Linked DNA regions of Arabidopsis thaliana. The protein of the gene in region 2 interacts with the protein of the main gene of each other region in a pairwise test. Each region holds a gene or a part of one and is shown on either strand. Other genes may lie near its edges.

Region 1 (6,101 bases), on a different chromosome or scaffold from region 2:
CAAGGTCATCTACACCAACTCGCCGTCCAATTGCTTCTGCAAGTGCTGCAACTACTACAGCAAATCCCACAATATCCCAAATCAAGCCTTCTTCTCCAGCGCCAGCAAAGCCTATGCCAACACCATCTAAGAACCCTGCTTTATCTCGTGCAGCATCTCCTACAGTGAGGTCAAGACCATGGAAGCCGTCAGACATGCCTGGTTTCTCATTAGAAACTCCTCCAAATCTAAGGACAACATTACCCGAAAGGCCACTTTCAGCGACAAGAGGCAGACCTGGAGCTCCAAGCTCTCGTTCTGGTTCAGTTGAGCCAGGGGGCCCTCCAGGAGGAAGACCAAGAAGGCAATCATGTTCACCATCAAGAGGAAGAGCACCAATGTACTCTAGTGGTAGCTCTGTTCCTGCGGTTAATCGTGGATATTCCAAAGCCAGTGACAATGTTAGTCCGGTGATGATGGGAACAAAAATGGTGGAGAGAGTAATAAACATGCGGAAACTTGCTCCACCCAGATCAGATGACAAGGGTTCTCCTCATGGTAACTTGTCTGCAAAGTCTTCATCACCCGACAGTGCAGGATTTGGAAGAACGCTCTCCAAGAAGTCCCTTGATATGGCAATAAGGCATATGGTATGTATCTCTCTCTTCTCTCTTCCTCAAGTGGTGGCAATTGCGTTTAACTGATGATCAAACGTTTTGATGAAAACAGGATATACGTAGAACTATTCCAGGGAACCTGAGACCACTAATGACGAATATTCCAGCATCATCAATGTACAGTGTGAGGTCTGGACATACACGTGGTAGACCGATGAATGTTTCAGACTCTTCTCCACTAGCAACAAGCAGCAACGCAAGCTCAGAGATCAGTGTCTGCAACAACAATGGCATTTGCTTAGAGGCAAGTGAAAAGGAAGACGACGCAGGCAGCGAGAGAGGTTGCAGGTCCCCTGCAAGCTTACAAGGGAGATGAAGGAAGAAAGAAGAAAAGCCTTTTGTAAAACGTTCACATTTGAGATTCTCTTTTATTGTTTGTGAGTTTTAATTATCACACGAGTTTGATAATGATGATATGTGAAGTAGCGTTTTGATGTTTTATGTAAACCTCTCCACTCTCGTCTCTACTTTAACCCTAAAATGGATGGATCCTTTAACCGATTGATTTGAGATATTAACCACTATTCAATGGTAACTGACTAAAACATAAAAAGTTATCATTCCAATATGACATAATTATGTTAATAACACACATGAACCATAAAATCTCTCAGCTGTTTATAACACATAATGAAATGCAAAGACTGAATTCACACAGATGTAAGCAACGAATAAGAAAACAAAGGAGGTTTTTAAGCAGCAGTAACTGCCTCAGTGGGCTTGGTTTCGGGAACATTCTTTGGAGGAGCAGCCGCCTCCTCCGATGGAGGTTGAGAAGTGAGTTTCAGGTGAGAAGGTGGGTTGTGTTTGAGCTTCACCAATATTTGTCTCATTCTTGTTAGATCGGTTGGCTTACCGGGCTTTGGACCTTGAATCACAGAGACTGTTGGCTTCTTAGGATCTTGTTGCTCTTTTTTTCCTCTCCTTTTCTCTATTGTTGGAACTTCTTTAGGAACTAGCTCTGCTATTGCCTTCCAGTAATTCTTGCTGGATTCCGCGTAGAACTTCTCTTGGTTCTCCAGATACAGCTTAAGTGTTCAAAGACAAATAAACACATAAGTGAAAGTTTAATCAACACTGTAACAATGCAATATGCAGATAAAAAGGTATCAAAGATCACACACGTAATGAAGATAATCAATGTATTAAGATAATCTCAAAACTGACAATGCATTAAGATAATCAATCACAGTTGACTTAAGACTAAGATGGTCAAAGTTTGAAAATTTTAATATCAACAAGCCATTGACTTGCATTGACAATTCTCCACAAACCACATGACAACAACACAGATTGAGAAAAGATGATAAAAAATTCAAATCTTTTAGCAAAAGAACAAACCTTTTCCTTCTCTCTGTTAGCTGCTTTGTTGTTTTCACAAGTTACTTCAATCTTCTTATGAAACTCTTCTTTGTATTGATCAGCTTCCTCAATAATTTGCTTCAACAATTCCTTTTCTCTCTTCTCCTTCTCCTCAAGTTGAATTGCATTTTGTCTACACATAAACATAATAAAGCCATAGCACGAAATCAGATCTATACATCTTAATCAACTCAACAAGCATTACAAGCTTACGGATCAAGATGTTATTCTAGAACACACGATTTGAGCAATAAACTCTAAGCAAAAGTAACAGATCCAATCTAATAAACTGATTACTTCTGAGAACAATGGACACTAACTAGCAGATAACTTCAATTCACAAAAATTGTGAATCAAAATTCAAAATTGAAATTCTCAGATTATCAAAGAGATTCTCAACTAAATTTATCCACTTTATCGATTTTCTTCAGGAAGAAGTAAACAAAAAGCAACAAAGATCAAAACTTTGAGTAGATCTAACCTTCTCCATTCTCTAAGAGCAAATCCCTCATCTGATTCCATCTCCGACGGTGGTGGCAAGATAGGACCGTCGTGATCCCCGTTGGATCCGAAGATGCCGTCACCGTTGGAGTAAGCACCGTAGTCAGAAGACGGCGCTGCAAAAACATCGTCGACGGAGTCCTCGACTTGGAGTGAGCCGTCGAAAGCTGAGAAAGAATCAGTGGCGTCAAAAGAGCCTGAGACTGGAACAGACTCAGACGCATCATCGTTGAGTATGACGAAGGAATCGTCTTCAAAGGCAGACATCTCTCGAACACACAAAAAAAAAAAAAAAGGCAGAACGAAGAACTCGCGAATCTTGTCTTTTCAAGTGTTCTCAAGCTTATGGCAAAAATTAATAACGGAGATTTGTGACTATTTTTATTTCCATTTTTCTTAATGGGCTTTTTTCGAGCCCAAATACTTCCAATTCATCATGAGTATTCCGGTTTAGTTATGGTTTAGGTTCCAACCGATCCATTAGATTACAATTAATGTTCCATACGTGTTCTTCTTATCTTAATCAAAACGTTTTGCAATTTAGTGTGGGTTCGGTTGTTCTACTTTCTAATTCAACCGGATCATTGAAACTACGTGTTCTTCTTTTCTTGTTTAAAACGTTTTGCAATTTGGTTTTGGTACGATTGTTTCATTTTCCATTTCAAACCTTCATTTTTTTTTTTTTTTTGAATAAACCTTCATTTTCTTTTTGTGTGTTTCGTGATTGAGTTCACAAAGTCTCAAATTATACACTACTAATGAATTGGCACAATCATTGAGCACGATTAATATAGAGTCTTGAAGTCATGGAACATCAGAAATGAACAAAACTATGTGCAAAGAAAAGTTGATTCTTTATTTGCATGTAAAGAAGAACATTATCATCACAACTACTGAGAAAAGGAACAAAATCAACCATATGTTTTCACGTTTAAGTATATTAATAATCAAGAGTAGAAGAAAACTTTTGGAATCAAATTTTCGTATTTATAGAGGAAAAATGTTAACAACTTGATATCTTGTATGACAAATATTTTTTTATAAAAGCCTAAAACAAAAATAAACAAAGACTTAACACATTCATGGATTCTAGCGTCGGAGGATTTTATGAGGTGGAAAAGGATGGTAACCTTGTTTTGGTATACCATCATCCGAAATATTGCCCCATACCCCAAACACAGACCGTAACCTCCTCCAGTGACCTTCAACCTCTTTTCTTATGCCCTCGATCACGACGTCGAAAAATCAAGTCGTATTCAGACACTTATCCGCTTAATTCTTCCCCCGAGTACGTCCTTTCTACAACGACGACCTCTCATGATCATCATGTACTCCCTTTGTTTTGGTGCAACAATAAAGAATTTGATGCTGATGGTGGATGCTACATATGCGAAGGCTCAAATTCCGGCACCGACTATTATTTCTGCAACTATTGTAGCATAAAATTACACAAAGAATGCATTCAATCTCCACTTATAATCAAACATCCTTACCACCCTGAGCACTATCTCCAACTTTTCTTTCATGATGATAACTTTCGTAAGATTGAGTGTTTATGTTGTGGAAGAAAAGCACATTGGTTGATTTATCATTGCACCACATGCCAGGCTTTTATGCATCCCATATGTGCGATGAAGCCAATACCTTTTCTTATAGACCCACCAAAAAAGCATATCCATCCTCTCACTTTTTTCCCCAGACAAACTTCCTTGACTTGTAATGTTTGTGGTTTGTTGAGAAAAATTTATCCCACCTACGTTTGTTTCAGATGTAACTTTGTAACTCATAATGACTGTATGAATTCCCCACACATCATCAAGATATCACGTCACCGTCATCGTATCTCGTTCACTTTTTCTCTTACATCTAGAGAATGGTTTTGTGGAGTTTGCCGTTTAAGTATTAACGTTGATTATGGTGCATATACTTGTGACACGTGTAGCGATTATGTTGTTCATTCAATATGCGCTCTTGGGAAAGATGTGTGGGATGGAAAAGAACTCGAAGGTATACCAGAGATAATCGATATAACAGAAAATGATGGACCGTTCGAGGTGATATCTGAAGGAGTGATACTTTATTTTCATCATAATCATCATCTCCGACTCGAGGTCAGCAACGTTTATGATGAAAACATGCTTTGTCAAGCGTGTGCCATTCCTATCTATGAAGGTAACTTATATGTTTGTATGGAGTGTGATTTCATCCTCCATGAAACATGTGCTAAGGCTCCCCGTAGAATCCAACATGCCTTACATCCTCACCCACTTGTATTGGAGGTTATCAATAGCTTTACTTACAATACCTTCCGTTGCAACGCTTGTGATCGTGGTTCTATTGGCTTTGCCTATCACTGTAGGATGGAGGTATGCAACTTTTTCAAGCTTGATGTAAGGTGCGCTTTAATTTCTGAGCCGTTTGATTACAAAGGTCATGAAGATCCCTTGTTCCTAGCTTTAAACCCAGAAATAAAACCCATATGTCATATATGCAAAACAGAATGTTTAAAACAATTAAATTGCATCAAATGCAATTTCATTGTATGTTTTAAGTGTGTTACCTTACCATACAAAATAAAATATAAGCATGACACACACTTCCTCACAATTTCATTTGGTGAAGAAGTACGTGAGCAAGAATGGTGTGAAATATGTGAACGTAGTTTAAAGGATACATGCACAAAAGTATTCTACTGGTGCAACGAGTGTTGCACCACTTTTCATATTGAATGCTTAATTGGTGGAGACCCATATATCAAGCCCGGTCAATATTTCAATAAATGGGTATGCAGGGTTCAAGTTCTTCCCAAATGTAATATTTCTCGACCATTATGTGGTTCTTGCAAGAACCGTTGTATAGGGAAAATATATGATGTAGGCTACCGTGTTGAATGTTCATATGAATGTATTTAAACAATGTATCCATGCATCTGAATAAAATGTAATTTCTCTATTATTGATTTCAATTTCATAAAACTAAACTGATTTCTCAATTCGTGCAATTACACAAGAGCTCTTTGAATTAGATGATTTTCTGCCGGAGGAGCTGCATCGGTCAACACAAGATATAATTTCTAACCATGTGCTTATGCGATTAGAAAGGCAATCATTTTCGTCTCTCGAAGGTTTCAAACAAGAAGCAAATGAGATGGCAAATGCATTGCTCGATAAATAGTCAATGTCAAAACATCACTACAATGCCGCTAGACTTTATAACTAAACCGGTCACTGAAACCCTAAACCTGATTTTAGGACAAACGATCTGAAACTAGAGAACTGCATTTACACATTGTTTTGCACTTCACATCAGAGTCTTTTAATGATAAAAACCGCCATTCTCTCCACTCTTTATGTACATCAAAACAAAACAGTGGAGACTGAATGGTTTACCTAAACGAACCAAATCTTCTTTGGTTCTCAAGAGTTTATGTCTGCGTCTGGGACGGAGACTGAGATGATGGAGACTGAGCCTGAGCCTGAGTCTGAGACGGAGACTGAGTCTGAGTCTGGGATGGAGACTGAGACTGAGACTGAGACTGAGACTGAGACTGAGACTGAGACTGAGACTGAGACTGAGACTGAG
Region 2 (8,920 bases):
CCTTATCTTTGTTGTGTCTTTGTATTAAATCTGAATTGAATTGCTAGGATTTCATTTGTGAATATAACTTGTCTACTCTAGGTTCTTGGTAGACTAGCTTCCCAGATATCAACCGTGCTTCAAGCCAAAGATAAGCCTACTTATTGTCCTAACCGCGACGATGGCGATATTTGTATTGTTCTCAATGCTAAGGAAATCGGCTTCACAGGAAGAAAGCTCACTGACAAATTCTACCGTTGGCATACTGGGCAAGTTGCACTCTTTCTTTTAATGCTCCTGTGAATCTTCAGCTACTACAAGTGTTTTATCATATCTTTTAGTATCTCCCATTTTCATCTACTTTATTTAATCTCTCTTTGTAGGTACATCGGACACCTGAAGGAACGGAGTCTGAAAGATCAGATGGCCAAAGATCCCACAGAGGTCATTCGTAAGGCTGTCTGGCGCATGCTTCCAAGTAACAATTTGCGTGATGTGAGTACACTATAAACTGAAACATTTTCTAATCACCTGAATCCTCAGTCTTTTAGATCCCTGACTTTCTGGCTACAGATATTACCCCACACCTTGGCTTTACTCTTACTTGTTGATATCCATCATGAGTTGTGTGGAATGAGATTCTTGGTGTCCTATGTCTAGAAAGGTTGTCTCTCCTCACAAATCGGTCTTATCGAATGAGATGATATACCCTTGTTTTGAAAATCATTTAGGTTTGGAAGGAAGATTGTTCTGAACTCTTGGTTTTACCATTTTGTTATTTGTCCTTTATCTTTGGTGGGAATAGTGGCTTGTTTGTACTGATACATTCTCGCTTCTCAGCTCCTAAATGAATTGCTCGCATAGTTTAGGATGTGTTGCTTAAAACAAGAATGTGCTGAGGTTTTGTTGCTTTGTGTGGGTATAGGACAGGGATCGGAAGCTGAGGATATTTGAAGGCGGTGAGCATCCTTTTGGGGACAAGCCACTTGAGCCATTTGTGATGCCGCCTCGTAGAGTTAGAGAGATGCGACCGCGCGCAAGGCGAGCAATGATCCGTGCGCAGAAGAAGGCAGAGCAGGCAGAAAATGAGGGAACAGAGGTAAAGAAAGGAAAGAAGAGGACCCTCTCTGAAGTACCTGCGTAGAGGAATTACTTCAGAGGAAAGCTAGTGATGTGACTGTCTTTTTATTTGTAAGCAAAGTTCATAATGCAGACGTGGATAAGCTTTTAAGGCTTTCTTGTTTCTCAGACAATAAACCTGTTTCTGGATCTCAAACACTGTATCACAAATGAAGCCAAAACCATCTTCCTTAAACATGGATCTGTTTCTGGTTATCTTTCAGTTTTCTTCGTTGCAAAAAACAGAGCAATCTCACGCCAAACACTGCATGACTACAGAATGTTACTGATGGAAAATGGGTAAATGCATCCTTGGTTCCATAAACGTGTGAAATTTGTGAATAAGACGGAAGAATTCGTAAAAAAGGGCAATAGTAACATCCTTGGTTTGTTTCTTTTCTTCACCAACAACAATACAAAACATCTAAACCTACGAAGAAACCACACACAACAAAAGAAAACAAAGATTGTTGTAGCTTCATCTGAGAAAAAAGTACTCTCGCTCTTAGTTAACTTTGGTATATTTTCTATCTTTGCACAAGATGTGCCATTCTTGGAGCACTGCTGCCTGAAGCGCCATGTGCTCTGTTTCTTCTGCTGTCAGCTTAGAAAATGTTCCTTTTTCCTTCTCTTTTTTCTTCTTCTCTTCCTTGTCCTTTCCCTCTTCTTTCTCCTTTTTCTCTTTTACTTCTTCATCATCATCTTCTTCTTCTCCTTCTTCTTCTTCTTCGTTTTCTGATTCCTCCTCTATCTTTGAAGTCTTCTTCGGCTGAGCTGCCTTCAACAAAGCTATCCTCTCCATAGAGATCTTCAGCTTCTCGGCCGCGGTTGCCTTCACTTCGTCCTCTGGCATGTACTCAACGCCCCCGTCAGTTAGATCATCACACCATCCCTGAATATCCGACTCTATTTGCTTTGTGATTGATGCTTCTGATGCTCTAACCACAAACTTGCACATCATGGTGGTAGTCTCGTCACCCAGATCCATGTTCCTGCTCACTTCACTAGCGCCAAAGATCATCATACCCACAAAACCTCCATGCCACGTTTTTGCAGCGTAACAAAGCTGTAGTGACATCAAGTTAGGGGTTTATCAGACCATCAATCCAGTTAAGGAACAAGAAGAATAACAGAACCAAGTTCACCTGAAAGCCAGCAACTGTGCGTATAATGTGGGAACAGACTCTGTGGAATGGCTTCGAGGATAATGATTTGAGTCCGCTTAAAAATGGTGAAGCCCCATACTGTTGTGCGGCGGTCGCCATGAAGCCGCTTCCTTCATACATATATGTGCCAGTGTACTCTGCAACAGCTGGCAAGCTAGGCCACAAACGAAAGAACTCGACTGGTGAGATTTTGTGCGGTAGAAGAAGCTCAGTCAGTGGGATCTTGTAAGGCTGACATCTTAAGATCACAGGCTCTCCGAGTTCTGCTTTTGAACCTCTCTTCTGCTTCATGATCTGTGGATCCTCTTCTATGTAGTCACCGTCATATTCTCCCCTAGCACCACGGAATGGATAGTAGAGGACTTGAACCCAGAAACCACATCTTTCAAATTGGGACACACCAACGGTGACACTGCATTGTACAGGATCCTACAAAAGTAAATCACAGAGTCCATGATAATACAGCTAACATATACGAAACTGATTGATTGGTAAGAACAGAAACGGTTTCCAACTGACAAGACTTAAGAAATTAGAGAACTGTAAAGAGATGGGAGTATATAAGCACTGAAGAATGACATGCAACCTGTGAGACAAGATTACGCAACTGCCGCACTGCTTGAGGAGAGCCATCCATGAAGTATAGGGCACCAGATAATCCAACCCGTATATCCACACGATTCAGTTCAAGTTCTGTCAAATTAATAATCTGAAAGGTAACATAAAGTATAAGGTGTTGAGACGCTAAAACTTTATCCACTAAAACTGTATTCAAGTAACTGCAGGATGATACAGTAGAATATATACCAACCTTCAAGTGCAAAGTGACCCTTCCATCATTTGTATCTGCTAAATGGTAAGCTTCTATATAGCAAGGATCACTGCTTCCGGTCAAAGGATATGCTGTGGGAGGAACCTTGATAGAAGTTGAGTCGACCCCTTTTGTAAGGAAGAGAGTTAATTCAGTGGGCTTTGGCCTCCAAAGCTCGAGAATGGCCTTGTGAATTAGACCTTCTAATTTCCTGTCTTGAGCAGCTGATGGTTCGTAAAACTGAACAGTAAGCTTATGGTGGCTAAACGGGTAATCTCCTCTTGTCTCACTAACTCCAGCCCACCTGGAAAATAATAGGTTGTCTGAGTTCCAATCCAGAAATGCAGTAAAACTCACATAATAAAAGGATTACAAGCCAAGGGAAAGCTCACTTTCTTTCAGGAAGATTTGAAACATATTTGATCCTCTGCAATATTAAACGGGTTTGATGTTTGCTAACTGTATCTGCAGCAGCATGGTTCCTATACTCTTCAAGCTCTTTGGTTAATAACTGGCCAGCTCTTGCATGACGCGATCCCATCCTCTGGGCGCATAATAAGACTGCCTGAACATCTTGTAGCCTATTCGATGTAGTAGCAGCGGCATCCAAGTTGAAGAGAACCTTATGTATGTTTGCTATGATAATATTCAATGGATCATCGGGGTCATCAGCTAAAAGTGGATCTAGACCTTCTAGATCAATATGTTCTGCGATTGTCCATATAAGACGCCCGAGGATTCTTGGGGTATTTACCTGCCAAATTGAGATCAAGATTTTTATAAGACATTGACCACGTTTCAGTCCACAAGCAATAGTTCTCCTCCACATTTAGTATTAAATAGTACTTAAGAAAGCCTAACTAAAATTCTTCGAGGAAAATTGCCAAGGGTTACTTCTAACTTTCAGCTGAGGCTTAATTACCTCTTGGAGATCCTTAACAAGCTCACGTTGCAAGTTCTGCAATCGTGTCTCATTTAATATTTGATCCTGGGAAGCACCATCTTTCAGCCTCTTCACTCCTCCACGGGTATCATAGATATGGCACAGCCTAACAAGCAATTTCAAATAGCAATCTACAGCGTACGTCCTGCCATCACAATCCCATTTGACACAAGGCCTACAAACTTCCACAACCTCAAGGGCTGGTTCTGTCCAGTTCAGAGCACCATAACCAGTACCATATGCTAACGCACCAATCACTCTGCTCTCCATACCCGAGTTTTTTTGTTCAGGCAAAGGTAGAGACAACTGGAAGCAGCTTTCCACAAGCATTGCCACCAGCTCTTCCCGAAATAAGCTCTTACTGGTAACACTATTGAGATCATCTTTAATCCTTGCATCTTCAAAGAGAGAAATAATATCTGTCCCAGGCAGAGGCTTCTGACCTCTTCGGGCACTTTCTCTGGCAAAAAGGTGAACACAGAGAGCTGTCCGACAGATACAGGCTAATGCGTGCATCCTGTCCGATTCTGCTCTCAAGTTTCTCACCATAAGCAGCAGTCTTCTAAACAACGAAACCTTCGTAACAAATTCCAAAAAGAATGATTCAGAAATCATAGGCCACAGCTTCAAGACAAAGGTACACAACTAACCGAGCTTAAATGAAGTAAAAAACGACATACCTGCATATGCAGATCAAGCAAGTGCAGGTTCGTAACAACGGCCCTGACTATACTCTCTCTAGCAGAGGAAAATTCTTGGCGGTCCCAGAGTGTTAAAATTGCAATAATGGACTGTGAAGCCCACTCTGGCTTGCCTCCGGCAACATCTGCCAGGTAGAGCATGTTAATTCCCACTTCAAAAATCAAAGCTGGATCCAAAGAGGAAGCCAAGAATGGCGCCAAATGGGTAACCAAATCTGAGACGCCAACCAGCTTCTCGGCGTTGGAGTCCACAACGGTGGCATTAGCTGCAGCAGCAGCAGAGGAAGCCTTGGAAAGCTGTCTAATCACTTCGACACTACCGGAAGCAACAGCTTTGACAGCAAAGACAAGAGGGAAAACAGTGGCTCTGAAGGTTTCGACAGGAAGGACTAAAGACCTAGCCATCAAAGCGCTCCTCTTTCTCCATACAATGTCAACCATGGAAGAGACCCACTTGGACCTGATGGCGAGGGAGTTCTCGCTGTCAACGAGCTTATCGCCAGCAAGACGGCTCATCCGCTTGGAGTCGAACTCCTGGAAGAGTCTGCCGACGGACTCAAAGGCAACCTTGGAGACGGCGTCGGATTTGTCGAGCATGTTCTGGCCGATCCGAGCCCACCAGTTGGAGACCTTGTCGAGGAGACCCACATTGTTCTCGCACAAAGTAACGAGATCATCACGCGCGAGGATGCAGCCAAGTGTCTCGGTGATGGAAAAACGAAGGTTGTCAGATGGAGAATCGAAGCAGGAAGCAATCTCAGAGCTGCAATCAGAGATGAGTTTAGGAAGCGAGAAGGCAGGGAGAGCCGCAAGGATGGAGACGGCAGCGGCGGTAACATCCGGGTCCGGAAAATGAAGATCCGTTTTGACACCTGAGCAAACGGTGTCCCAAAGATCCGGAGTGAGGCGGGTAGATCGGATGAGATCGAATGCCAGCTTCTTACAAACAGCTGAAGCCGGAGAAGCAACAATCTCCTCCACAGCAGACTTAGCGATCACAGAGATATCTCTTCCGGCGGCGGATTGCTGCAGCGCCTGAAGAAGCGCCGATGACTGGCGAAGCGCGTCATTTGAACGGAGGTCCGCCTGGATCTGAGCAAAAAGAATGTCCATAACCGGATCGAATTAACTGAAATTCGAGATCCAAAATCTGAGCTAACTAGCTTCGCTGTCAATCTGTGTACGTATGCGACATGGAACTGGAAGAAGAAGGATGTGTAAATCAAACCATCAATTGAAGAAGAAGGAGAAGAAATTGTTTTCGAAGGAAAAAAGCGCGTGCCGTTCCTGCGATTCGAGCTTTCACAGCGTGCCGTGTTGAGTCATCCGTAGACCCAATAAAGGCACATTAAAAAGTTCATTGGGCTTTACATTATAAGCCCAGGATATTATTTTTATGCACCGAAGTATTTGCATTCGATTTTAATTCGAGGGATCAGATCCGACGGTCCAGATTGAGTCCTGCCCAGTAGCAAAACGGCGTTAGACGCAGCATTCGTTAGGGACGGGACACTAGAGAAGGGAGGGCAGAGAGCGATTTTGTTCTCTCTCTACTTCTCGGTCGTCTTCTTCGTCTCCACTCTAGGGTTTTACTCTATCTTCTTCTTCATCATCATCTTCTACACCAATCTCTAGCGTTAATCTGTTTCTGCTGGAGAAGATTTACGCTTGTTCCTCGGTTCTCTTACTTCTGCTCCGGTTCGATCGCTTGCTAAGTGTTTCGAGTTGGTTAGTTCCGAATTTCCTTTTTTATGCATATTGAGTGTTCACTGCTCTCCTCCAGCAATACTATAGGGCTCTAAGAATTGAATTGCTTTCAGGTTTTCATAGTTAGGGTTTCTCAAAACTGACTTAAATATTTTGATTTGTGCAGGTTCGCACTTCGGTGGGCGATATCATGACTGTGAGGAACGGTGGTTTCCCAGGAGATTATAATCGTAACAGTTTTGACTCTCCCGGCGGCTGTGATGATAGCCCCAATGCTTCCAAGGATGATGAAACTTTTGGTGTCCCGAGAATAGTTTTACCCTTGTCTGACTTGTCATCATCAGAAAGGAGAAAGTGGATTCATACGCTTCGTCAGGAGCTGGAACAACTACGGTCCTTTCAGAAGAGTGTTGGGGACCTTCTTCCTATATCTAAGATTGTTACTAGTACACCTGCAAGTAATGTGTCTCGCCCCAAGAGTTTTGGAATGTCACGATGCTCTACTGGCCCTGGAAAAAGGGTGCTCCCCTTCACAGCAACCAAACCAGAGCCAGTCACCACTTCCACTATGCTTCGGATGAAGCAATGTGAGAGCCTCCTTAAACGATTGATGTCGCAGCAGCATTGTTGGCTCTTTAATACCCCTGTGGACGTCGTCAAGCTCAACATTCCTGATTATTTCACCATTATCAAACATCCTATGGATTTAGGAACTGTTAAAAGCAAGTTAACTTCCGGCACGTATTCAAGCCCTTCAGAGTTTTCTGCTGATGTCCGTCTTACTTTCCGCAATGCTATGACTTATAACCCGTCAGATAATAATGTGTATCGCTTCGCTGATACTCTCAGCAAGTTTTTTGAAGTGAGATGGAAAACTATCGAGAAGAAGTCATCCGGAACCAAATCTGAACCAAGTAACTTGGCTACTCTTGCTCACAAAGATATTGCGATACCTGAGCCTGTGGCTAAGAAGAGAAAGATGAATGCTGTGAAACGTAACAGCCTCTTAGAGCCTGCTAAGCGGGTTATGACAGATGAGGATAGAGTAAAGCTTGGCAGAGATTTGGGGTCCTTGACAGAATTCCCTGTACAGATAATAAATTTCCTGAGAGATCACAGCTCCAAGGAAGAGAGATCTGGAGATGATGAGATAGAGATTGACATCAATGATCTCAGTCATGATGCCTTGTTCCAGTTGCGGGATCTCTTTGATGAGTTTCTGCGAGAAAATCAAAAGAAAGATTCAAACGGTGAACCCTGTGTGTTAGAGGTAATCACCTTTCTATATCTCATTCTTGATCCATTTGTTAACATGACTGATAAACAGCGAAAACTTTCTTGATGTAGCTTTTACATGGGTCAGGGCCAGGAAATTCATTGACGCAACACTGTGATGGTTAGCATACACTGGTTTTGTTGTTTGAGCTAATTCGCATGTCCTACTCTATGATTAAGCTGTCATTTCCTCCTCGTTACTTGCAGGGAGTGAATTGGAGGACGAGGATGTTGACATTGGTAATTATGAGCACCCTATATCTCACATCTCAACTGTCAGAACAGAAAAAGGTATGGCGTTAGAGAACTACAGTGGTTTGTTTAATCTTGCTACATTGTATTTGTCTTTTTCTCTATGGAGCTTTTGCAGACGTTTGATGTTTGCAATTCTTATATGTACTTAACCCTCGGAACCATTTTACTTCCCTCTTGTCAGAAGTGGCCGTCCATCTAGAATACTCAATGTTACTTCTGTAGTTTTTTTGGAGTGAAACTTACTGACCTTACTGATAGCAACTCATATTACACACCTAGTATGATAGTGATAGACCTGTTACATTTTCTGCTTGTTTTACTCCCAGGTCGCTGTTTGCTATTTTCTATAGTGATCATATTATCTCTAATCAGTGATTACTCCTCTTTTGGTGCAAAAGATGTTAAGTTTTGTTGATATTAATTAATAAACCTTGGTTTTCTTATTCCCTTTCTAAAAGCAGATTCCGTCGGTGGATTGAATCAGATGGAAGATGCATCCAGAGGGAAGCTAAGTCTTATTGAGGGGGCAGATGGTCATCAAGATGGTAAGCTCAGAAGTGTAGCAGAAAAATATCTGTGCTCTAATATCTGAGGGTGGCATCTCACTCTTGACCCATTAATAATTTAGGAAATAGTGCTCCAAAAGAGAAGGAACTACCTCCAGAAAAGCGTTACAGGGCTGCTCTATTGAAAAATCGATTTGCGGATATAATCTTGAAGGCTCAAGAGATAACTCTTAATCAGGTTAGCTGTGTTTGTGGAGGTGTGAGCTGTTATATCTGGTTAGCCCTCCCTCTTTGACTTTCAAAATTATATTTGTGAGATCAGAATGAGAAACGAGACCCAGAGACACTGCAACGTGAGAAGGAAGAACTGGAATTGCAAAAGAAGAAAGGTATTCTTGATTTGCTAGTTTCGATTTTTTGATTGATGATATATACCAAGTAGTATATACGTACATAAA
Region 3 (6,719 bases), on a different chromosome or scaffold from region 2:
ATATATAACGAAGCATTTGAGATTCCAATGTACCTGAAGAGGCGCAACAGGAAACGAGAAGCAACAGGAAAATTCTCTGAAACCATATCGCCATTTTGCTTCAAACTACAAAGAAAACCTTGAACGTCAACGCTTCTTGGATCCAGTGAATGTGTCTATTAATTAGTAAAATATTTAACGAGAAGAATGATGCTGTAACATGTTAGCATAAAGTTGATCATTAATAAATATATTAATAATTCTCTTTCACCTTAGTGGACTTGTCTTTGAGTTGTGCACAAATGAGAAGACTAAACACACAGATGGTTTGAAGAAGCCAGGGCCATCATCCATATAGTAGAACTGTGTCTTTTTGGATCTGGTTCTAGTGTTTGTACATTTCAGGAAACAAAAGGTTGGTGAATTGAGAGTGTGAACAATGTTCTATTTAATTTGGTTACTCCAACCTAACTCTTAACTCACTCTTAGACTCTTAGTGGTTGGTGTATTGACCGAATTATTATTTTTAAGCAGTCTTGAAGACATACAAAACATTGCATAATCGTAAAAAACAAAAGTCACGAAATGAAATAACCTACTAAATACTTGTGGAATTACCAAAATATTTTTGCCATAAATTATTATGTTTTTTTCTCGAACATATATACTGTATATGATTACTACGTATCAAAAGCAAATCCTGATTGAATTTGGAATTTGATTTGGTTTAGATTGCCTCGTCATAACTGGCTTTAGAAAAGTAAAAAGAGTGCAGTTTGTGACGACTTTTAGATATGGCTTTGATTCACAAACGTCAAGCTCTCAATTCTAGGGGGGTGGATTGGTCGGAGCTTCCTGAGGATGTGATCAGATTGGTTCTGCGACGGCTGAGACTCTCGGATTTTCATCGAGCTAGGGCGGTTTGTTCCACTTGGTGTAGGGTTTGGGGAGACTGTGTCTCCAAACCTAATCAGGTTCCGTGGCTAATTCTTTTCCCTGATCCAGCACAAATCAGACGCAGTTGCATGTTGTACAATCCACAGGAAGAAGAAAACGTTTACACAATTCAAGACCTTGGTGTGGATCCTTGCCTTGCAAGTTGCGGCACCTGGCTCCTCGGTTAAATCTATATCTTGTGAATGTGCTAAATTTGGAGAGGATTAACCTAGTAGCTATCGAGTCTCAACGTGACCAGCTCTTTTCAGCGTACTCTACAGAAAAGGTCATTTTGCAAGCAAAGCCGAGATGATGGGATACCCTAGTACTGATAAGGCAGTTGTGTGGATAGACGAGAAAACTAAAGACTACGTAGTTGCTTGCAGCTGGGGTGGAGACAAGCATGCAGCCTTTTGCAAGAAAGGCGATTGTGAATGGCGCCAGATTCCTCCTTTGTTGGGGTGTAGTGATATTGCCCTCAAGGACCACAAACTTTACATTTACTATGAGGATGGTAGCATCGGAATCTCGGATTTGAAGTTTGTAACAAAAACTGCTCATGTTCAGCTCTATCCCTTTCGCTTCCGCTTGGGATCTTTTAGCCCTTATGATACAATTTGGACAGACTATCTTGACTGGAAGACCAACATAGTAATCACCATCTCTGGAGATTTTTTGATGGTTGGCTGCGTTCTTAAACGTCGTGACCTTTCCTGGCTTTTTCGTGGCGACCAGGCCGTGATCTTGGATCTAGGTATCACCGTGCAAGCATCCTCCGATATCCAAGGTATTACCAGAAACTCCACCTATTTCAGCGGTCTTCCATCTAGCCAAAAGGATGTCTTCGTCTTCAATCTCTCCTCCCAGAAGGTTCAACGCCTTTCGTCTTCTTCTATCTCCTCCAGACCATTCTCTAATGCTCGCTGGCTCTTCCCCACTTCTTACTTCACAATGATACTCTTTCCAAACATTTTCGTTTTTGTTCAACTTTAAGTGTTTTTTTTTTTTAATAATGCCAATGTTATTTTCCTTTTGCTAATAAAAACATGACTTAACCATTAACGCAAAGGCTACAAAACAAAGCTAATTATATAAAGTAGTAATGTTTCAACATACACAAGATTACAGATACACTAGTTCACTTTTAAACCAGACTAATCTCAACAATATCTTCTACTAAAAATGCTCAAACAGATGAAGAGACTTGTATCGTCAAGAAACTCACCAACTCCCTGGCCCATCGTTCCCAGCTGCTGGCCTCCGGTTCAAGTAACGTATAACTGCATCTTCGACCCTGCAAACATTTTACCCCAAATTATGATTCAGAAACATTTTACAACTCTTTGACCAAAAAAAAAAAAAAACATTTTACAACTCTTAATACATATCATCTGTGCGAATAAAGGCCAGAGTAGCAGAGTCTAGATGATTAGCTTACCAAGGTTGGTTGAAGAAGTCTGATCGACGTTCTCTCTCAGCATTTCGACTGGCTTCTCCCGCAACGACCTTTAGATCCTTGCTCTGAGATTCGATCAGGGCGTTTATGAATTCAACTGGCGATTGGCTGAACCCCAAGAAAAATGCCCGCCTCCTCCTATGCTCATGGATTTTCCTTATGGCTGCACATATTGCTTCATCACAAGCCTCAATCTCTTTGTTCTTCTCTGCGTTGGCTAGCAAATTGTTCAGATCTCTTTGGATCGGGAAGGGTACATCCACTAGCACATCGTAACATGCTGATACGGCCGGATTATTTCCTGAGAGCTTGATTTTGTGTTCTAAGTGAATAGGTGGTGGAGGCGACAAGTGATGAGATATTTTCTGAGAGACCATAGTGAATTTCAACTTTTCTTCTCCAAAAACTTTCTGAAGTGCAGCATCACAGTTGAAGAAAGAGGGGTCATTTGGGTTCTGCAGTTTCCTCGCCTTAACGTAATGCCAAATTGCAGCGATGATTCTTGGGCGGGTTTCAACCTCAATCCCGAGAACATCCATCAATGCAGTAGAAAGCTTGAACTTTTCAGGGACGTAGTTCATCTCCAACCGTATACTAGCAGCAAACTCCTGATTCCCTTTCCTCTTTATCTCAAAGCCTTCCTGAGGAGCAGGTGATCGAGCATTCTCCCATATGATCAATGGGTTCTCAGGATACAGCCTCTGATCCAGGGAAACTGTAACCCTTTTGAAGAAAGACGAGAATTTGGGATGCAATGGGTTTGCTTTCTGAACAAACCCTGGCTGGTCGGGATCCACCCCATCTTCCAGTATCCTACCAATAATTTTAAGAGTCCATGTTGGCGGGTCAGCATTAGGATTCCCAGGGATCGTGTTGTTTTGGTTAGCAAACGAGTTGAAAACGTAGATCCTAAGAGTCTTCTGTATGCAGGGAGGGTTTTTAAGGGCTTCCTGGATGTCAACTTTCTTTCTAGTTAACGCAGCATCAACCCGAGACTCAAACTCCAGAAGTTGTGTGTATAAGGCAGACTCTGGCAAGATTGCAGCCACCCGCTCCTGCAATGACTTTTCTGGAAGCTTTTGTTTCTTTTTCCGAGCAGCAGGAGTTAACTCCATTGTTCTCATTGGGGAGATAGTGTTGTTACTCGCAGGAGCACCAGGAGGTCGCATCGGCGGTTTCTGCTGGAATCTCTTCATGTTTAAACTTCCAGGAGTCGTCAAAGAAGGAGAAGAAGGACCCAAGCCACCAATCCCCGGAGAACCTTGTGCTTGGTTCATCGTCATGCCTTGAGCTTGTAACTGAGCTTGCAGTTGTGCTTGAACTTTAGACTGTGCTTGAGCATGGGCTAGGGCCTGAGCTTGAGAGAACTGAAACTGAGCTTGAAAGTTAGCTGCCATATGAGACTGAGCAAAACCTTGGTTTCCAGGAACAGATGCAGAGGCCATCCCAGGATTCCCAAAAGGCAAAGGCGCAGAGCCTTGAGGCTTTTGTGGATTGTTGTTGTTACCAGACATTGCTATATAAACCTATCAGCCTGAAAAATTCAGAAACAAAAAATAACACTCTTGAAAAATAAACTTCAATTACACCTAACGTATCGTAAGCTTATCAGAAATCTAAGACATATATGCAGAAATTCAGATGAATGCAATAGATCGGTTACCTAGAGAAATCGAAACCTCAAAACCCTAATTTTCTAAGATTGCTGCAGAGTTCAACTAAATAGGAGTAATACCCAGGCTTAAAAACAACGTCGAAGAGAAAATGACTGAAAATGCGAATGAAGAACTCGATTGGAGAATTTTTGAAATATACTACTAAGTGGCCATAGAAAGATCTGGAATTTACAAAATCCTAAGAGATACAAAAAACAGAAAACCCAGAGCCTATACACCATAAAGATCGAGAATTCCTTAAAAAAACGAAGATTCGCAGCTTGGTACCTGCTTTTTTGATTCACCTTCTTTCCGGGATTCACCGGTGTTCCGTTGCTTCTCAGTTGTCGAGACTCGAGAGAGAAAACAAAAACAAATGCCCACCGGAGCTATCTATTTTACTGTCCGGGTTAAGACCCGACCCGTATTTTTAAAGCCCACATTGAGTTATATCAAACTGGCCCAACTTTAATCCATGTGTTTTTTTTTCAACGACAAATCCACATACAATTTGACGACAAAATTAAAAAGAAAAGCATTCCACATAATTTTGTTTTACTATAGTTTTTCGTTTCCTTTTTTTTTTTTTGTCAAATACGAATCTGTAGTTTTAGTGTTCTTTCTTAAATATACCTAAAACTAGGGTAAATTAGATAATGGTTGCCCCATTGTTTATAGATTAAAGAAAAAAAAAATCTAAATTAAATATTGGGATTATTTTAATTAGAAGCTAGTAGACTGGTATACTTTTTCATAAAAATTTTAATTTTATTTTTGCCCATTTTGTTTAGAGGGAAACAATTGAAGAATATGGGCACATGCAATTACATAAACTAATGACAAGGTAATAATATTATCAAGCTTGTCGTTTGAAAAAGGTAGCAACTTGGTTATAAACAACGTCTTTGGCAGTAACACCCATGATGAAATCAGCATGAGCATAGTCTTTCACAAACTGCACATTCATCTTATCGATGTCGTGATACTTAAACTGGTCAAGGAGAAACTCAACGTCTTTCACATCAGCCAGGCTATCTAAACCACCGTAGCTGAAAAAAAGCGGAAGCTCGTGTGGGATCGCCGATATGTTGTATGCCGGTGGTATCGCTTGACCGTAATGTTTTATGTTGCGATCACTGCTTCCATAGTTGTATTTTCTCAACTCCTTGTCTCTTACCGCTACAAATAAATAATTTGAACAATTTAAGGTTTATAAAATAATTTTTAAAAAATGGGAATTTGTTTCACTTACTTTGAGCAAGGTGGATCATGTTCTTGGTGGAAGTAGATTGAGGTTCGTTGGCAAGGAACAGATCAATGGTTGATGCGTTAAGGCAGCAATTCTTTCCTATGTTTTTGTAAAATTACGTTAATTAATATATGTAATTAATTCATCAATGGTAGATTGGTGGACTTTTTTAGTTGTAGCGTTACCAGTGATAACAGAGACTAAATCATAACAGTCGATCCCCGCTTTAAGGCATATAGCCTTTATAAAATCCCCTACTAATCCACTGCAAATGTTGTTTTAACTATTTTACGTAATCAAATCAAGCCAATAATAACAAGCATATTTTAAGAAAAAAGGGTGAAGATTTACCTTTTCGGGTTAAACTCTGGCCATCCAAGAATAGAGGTGGCCTATTTTTGAAAGACGATAAACAAGTTATTTTCATAACTGTAGGCACATATTTGTATAAGAATAAAAAAGGGTATTACAAGGGAGAAGCTAGGGACCTCGGCGAGGAAGGTTTTTGCGGCGATATCGCCGATGACGGTGGTCATGTGGCTGAGATAAGCAACGGGACTCAACATCGCCGCCGATCTCACTTGATCCACCAACCCTTTTTCTGAGAACGAAGCAAATCCTATTAACGTCCCCTGACAATTTCCATTTCATTTTTCATTCTATTATGAGAAGATATATTACTATAAGAAAAAGAAAAAAATCAGAGAAAAAATATGTTGATAACGTTGGACCCACCAAAGAGTGTCCGAGGTAGTGAATCTTTTGGCCTGTTAGGCCATGGATATGGTCAAACATAGCAGGCAGATCGTAACTCACAAGCTCGTCCCACGTCCAGTTCCAGAAAGCCTAAGTCCACAACGTGCCAACGATGTTAAATATCAGTTTCCTTAGTAAAGATATATACGTAATCTACTGGTTAAAACAGTGGTTCACTGAACCAGACCCGTTGAGAAGGGTTAAGGTACTTGTGTCTTCTGCTGAATCTAGTCCCTCTTGTGTTCCCCATCCACACATCGAATCCTTGATCCGCCAAAATCAACGGCAGATTTTGATCCGCTGGATTCAACAGCCATGACATCCCATCCTGCACATTTAACTCATGATTATTTGACTATCATAGTAATGTAAACTATAAGAAATTAAAGGACCATGTTGTCAAAGAGACAAATTACAATTCTGCATACGTACGACTGTCGTCTCTGTCCACATAAAACTTAAAACATAAGGCAAGTCATAAAGTATTTTCTTTCTAGCAGGCTGATGAAAATAGTAGTACTGATCTCATCAAGTTTTGTACTTATGCACTTTATCGATGATTTTTAAGAATTCGATGAGTACCAGAGTCGAGAGTCGACACGGTTATTTATATAATATCACTTACGTACGGTACAATCATTCTTCCATACCAGAAAAGTTGTTTATCACTTGAGTTTATTTTAATTAC

Evidence for each region.
Region 1: the proteins of TPLATE (region 2) and CLC2 interact in binary tests that used the Arabidopsis thaliana proteins (3 or more experiments, as listed by UniProt).
Region 3: the proteins of TPLATE (region 2) and CHC1 interact in a protein complementation assay, tested with the Arabidopsis thaliana proteins (one study listed by BioGRID).

The regions. Positions count from the first base shown.
Region 1 is NC_003071.7:16,723,249-16,729,349, reverse strand, and holds CLC2 (Clathrin light chain protein), read right to left. Parts: upstream 2,927-6,101; 5' UTR 2,787-2,926; coding exon 2,500-2,786; intron 2,152-2,499; coding exon 1,998-2,151; intron 1,685-1,997; coding exon 1,349-1,684; 3' UTR 1,143-1,348; downstream 1-1,142. Other genes in the region: AT2G40070 (flocculation FLO11-like protein), read left to right, coding at 1-629, 709-972; AT2G40050 (Cysteine/Histidine-rich C1 domain family protein), read left to right, coding at 3,602-5,431; NRPD1B (nuclear RNA polymerase D1B), read right to left, coding at 5,944-6,101.
Region 2 is NC_003074.8:276,083-285,002, reverse strand, and holds TPLATE (ARM repeat superfamily protein), read right to left. Parts: upstream 6,122-8,920; 5' UTR 5,833-6,121; coding exon 4,699-5,832; intron 4,595-4,698; coding exon 3,998-4,594; intron 3,830-3,997; coding exon 3,468-3,829; intron 3,380-3,467; coding exon 3,076-3,379; intron 2,974-3,075; coding exon 2,851-2,973; intron 2,694-2,850; coding exon 2,244-2,693; intron 2,165-2,243; coding exon 1,604-2,164; 3' UTR 1,352-1,603; downstream 1-1,351. Other genes in the region: AT3G01790 (Ribosomal protein L13 family protein), read left to right, coding at 82-248, 363-474, 905-1,123; BET10 (bromodomain and extraterminal domain protein 10), read left to right, coding at 6,617-7,696, 7,774-7,822, 7,909-7,992, 8,418-8,501, 8,585-8,700, 8,785-8,851. UniProt on the Arabidopsis thaliana protein: Functions in vesicle-trafficking events required for site-specific cell wall modifications during pollen germination and for anchoring of the cell plate to the mother wall at the correct cortical position.
Region 3 is NC_003076.8:4,566,560-4,573,278, forward strand, and holds CHC1 (SWIB/MDM2 domain superfamily protein), read right to left. Parts: upstream 4,436-6,719; 5' UTR 4,315-4,435; intron 3,906-4,314; 5' UTR 3,886-3,905; coding exon 2,354-3,885; intron 2,210-2,353; coding exon 2,137-2,209; 3' UTR 1,921-2,136; downstream 1-1,920. Other genes in the region: AT5G14150 (Emb:.1 protein, putative (Protein of unknown function, DUF642)), read right to left, coding at 34-94; AT5G14160 (F-box family protein), read left to right, coding at 774-1,098, 1,175-1,908; MPL1 (Myzus persicae-induced lipase 1), read right to left, coding at 4,883-5,205, 5,279-5,374, 5,461-5,540, 5,627-5,667, 5,764-5,907, 6,011-6,121, 6,219-6,359. UniProt on the Arabidopsis thaliana protein: Involved in transcriptional activation and repression of select genes by chromatin remodeling (alteration of DNA-nucleosome topology).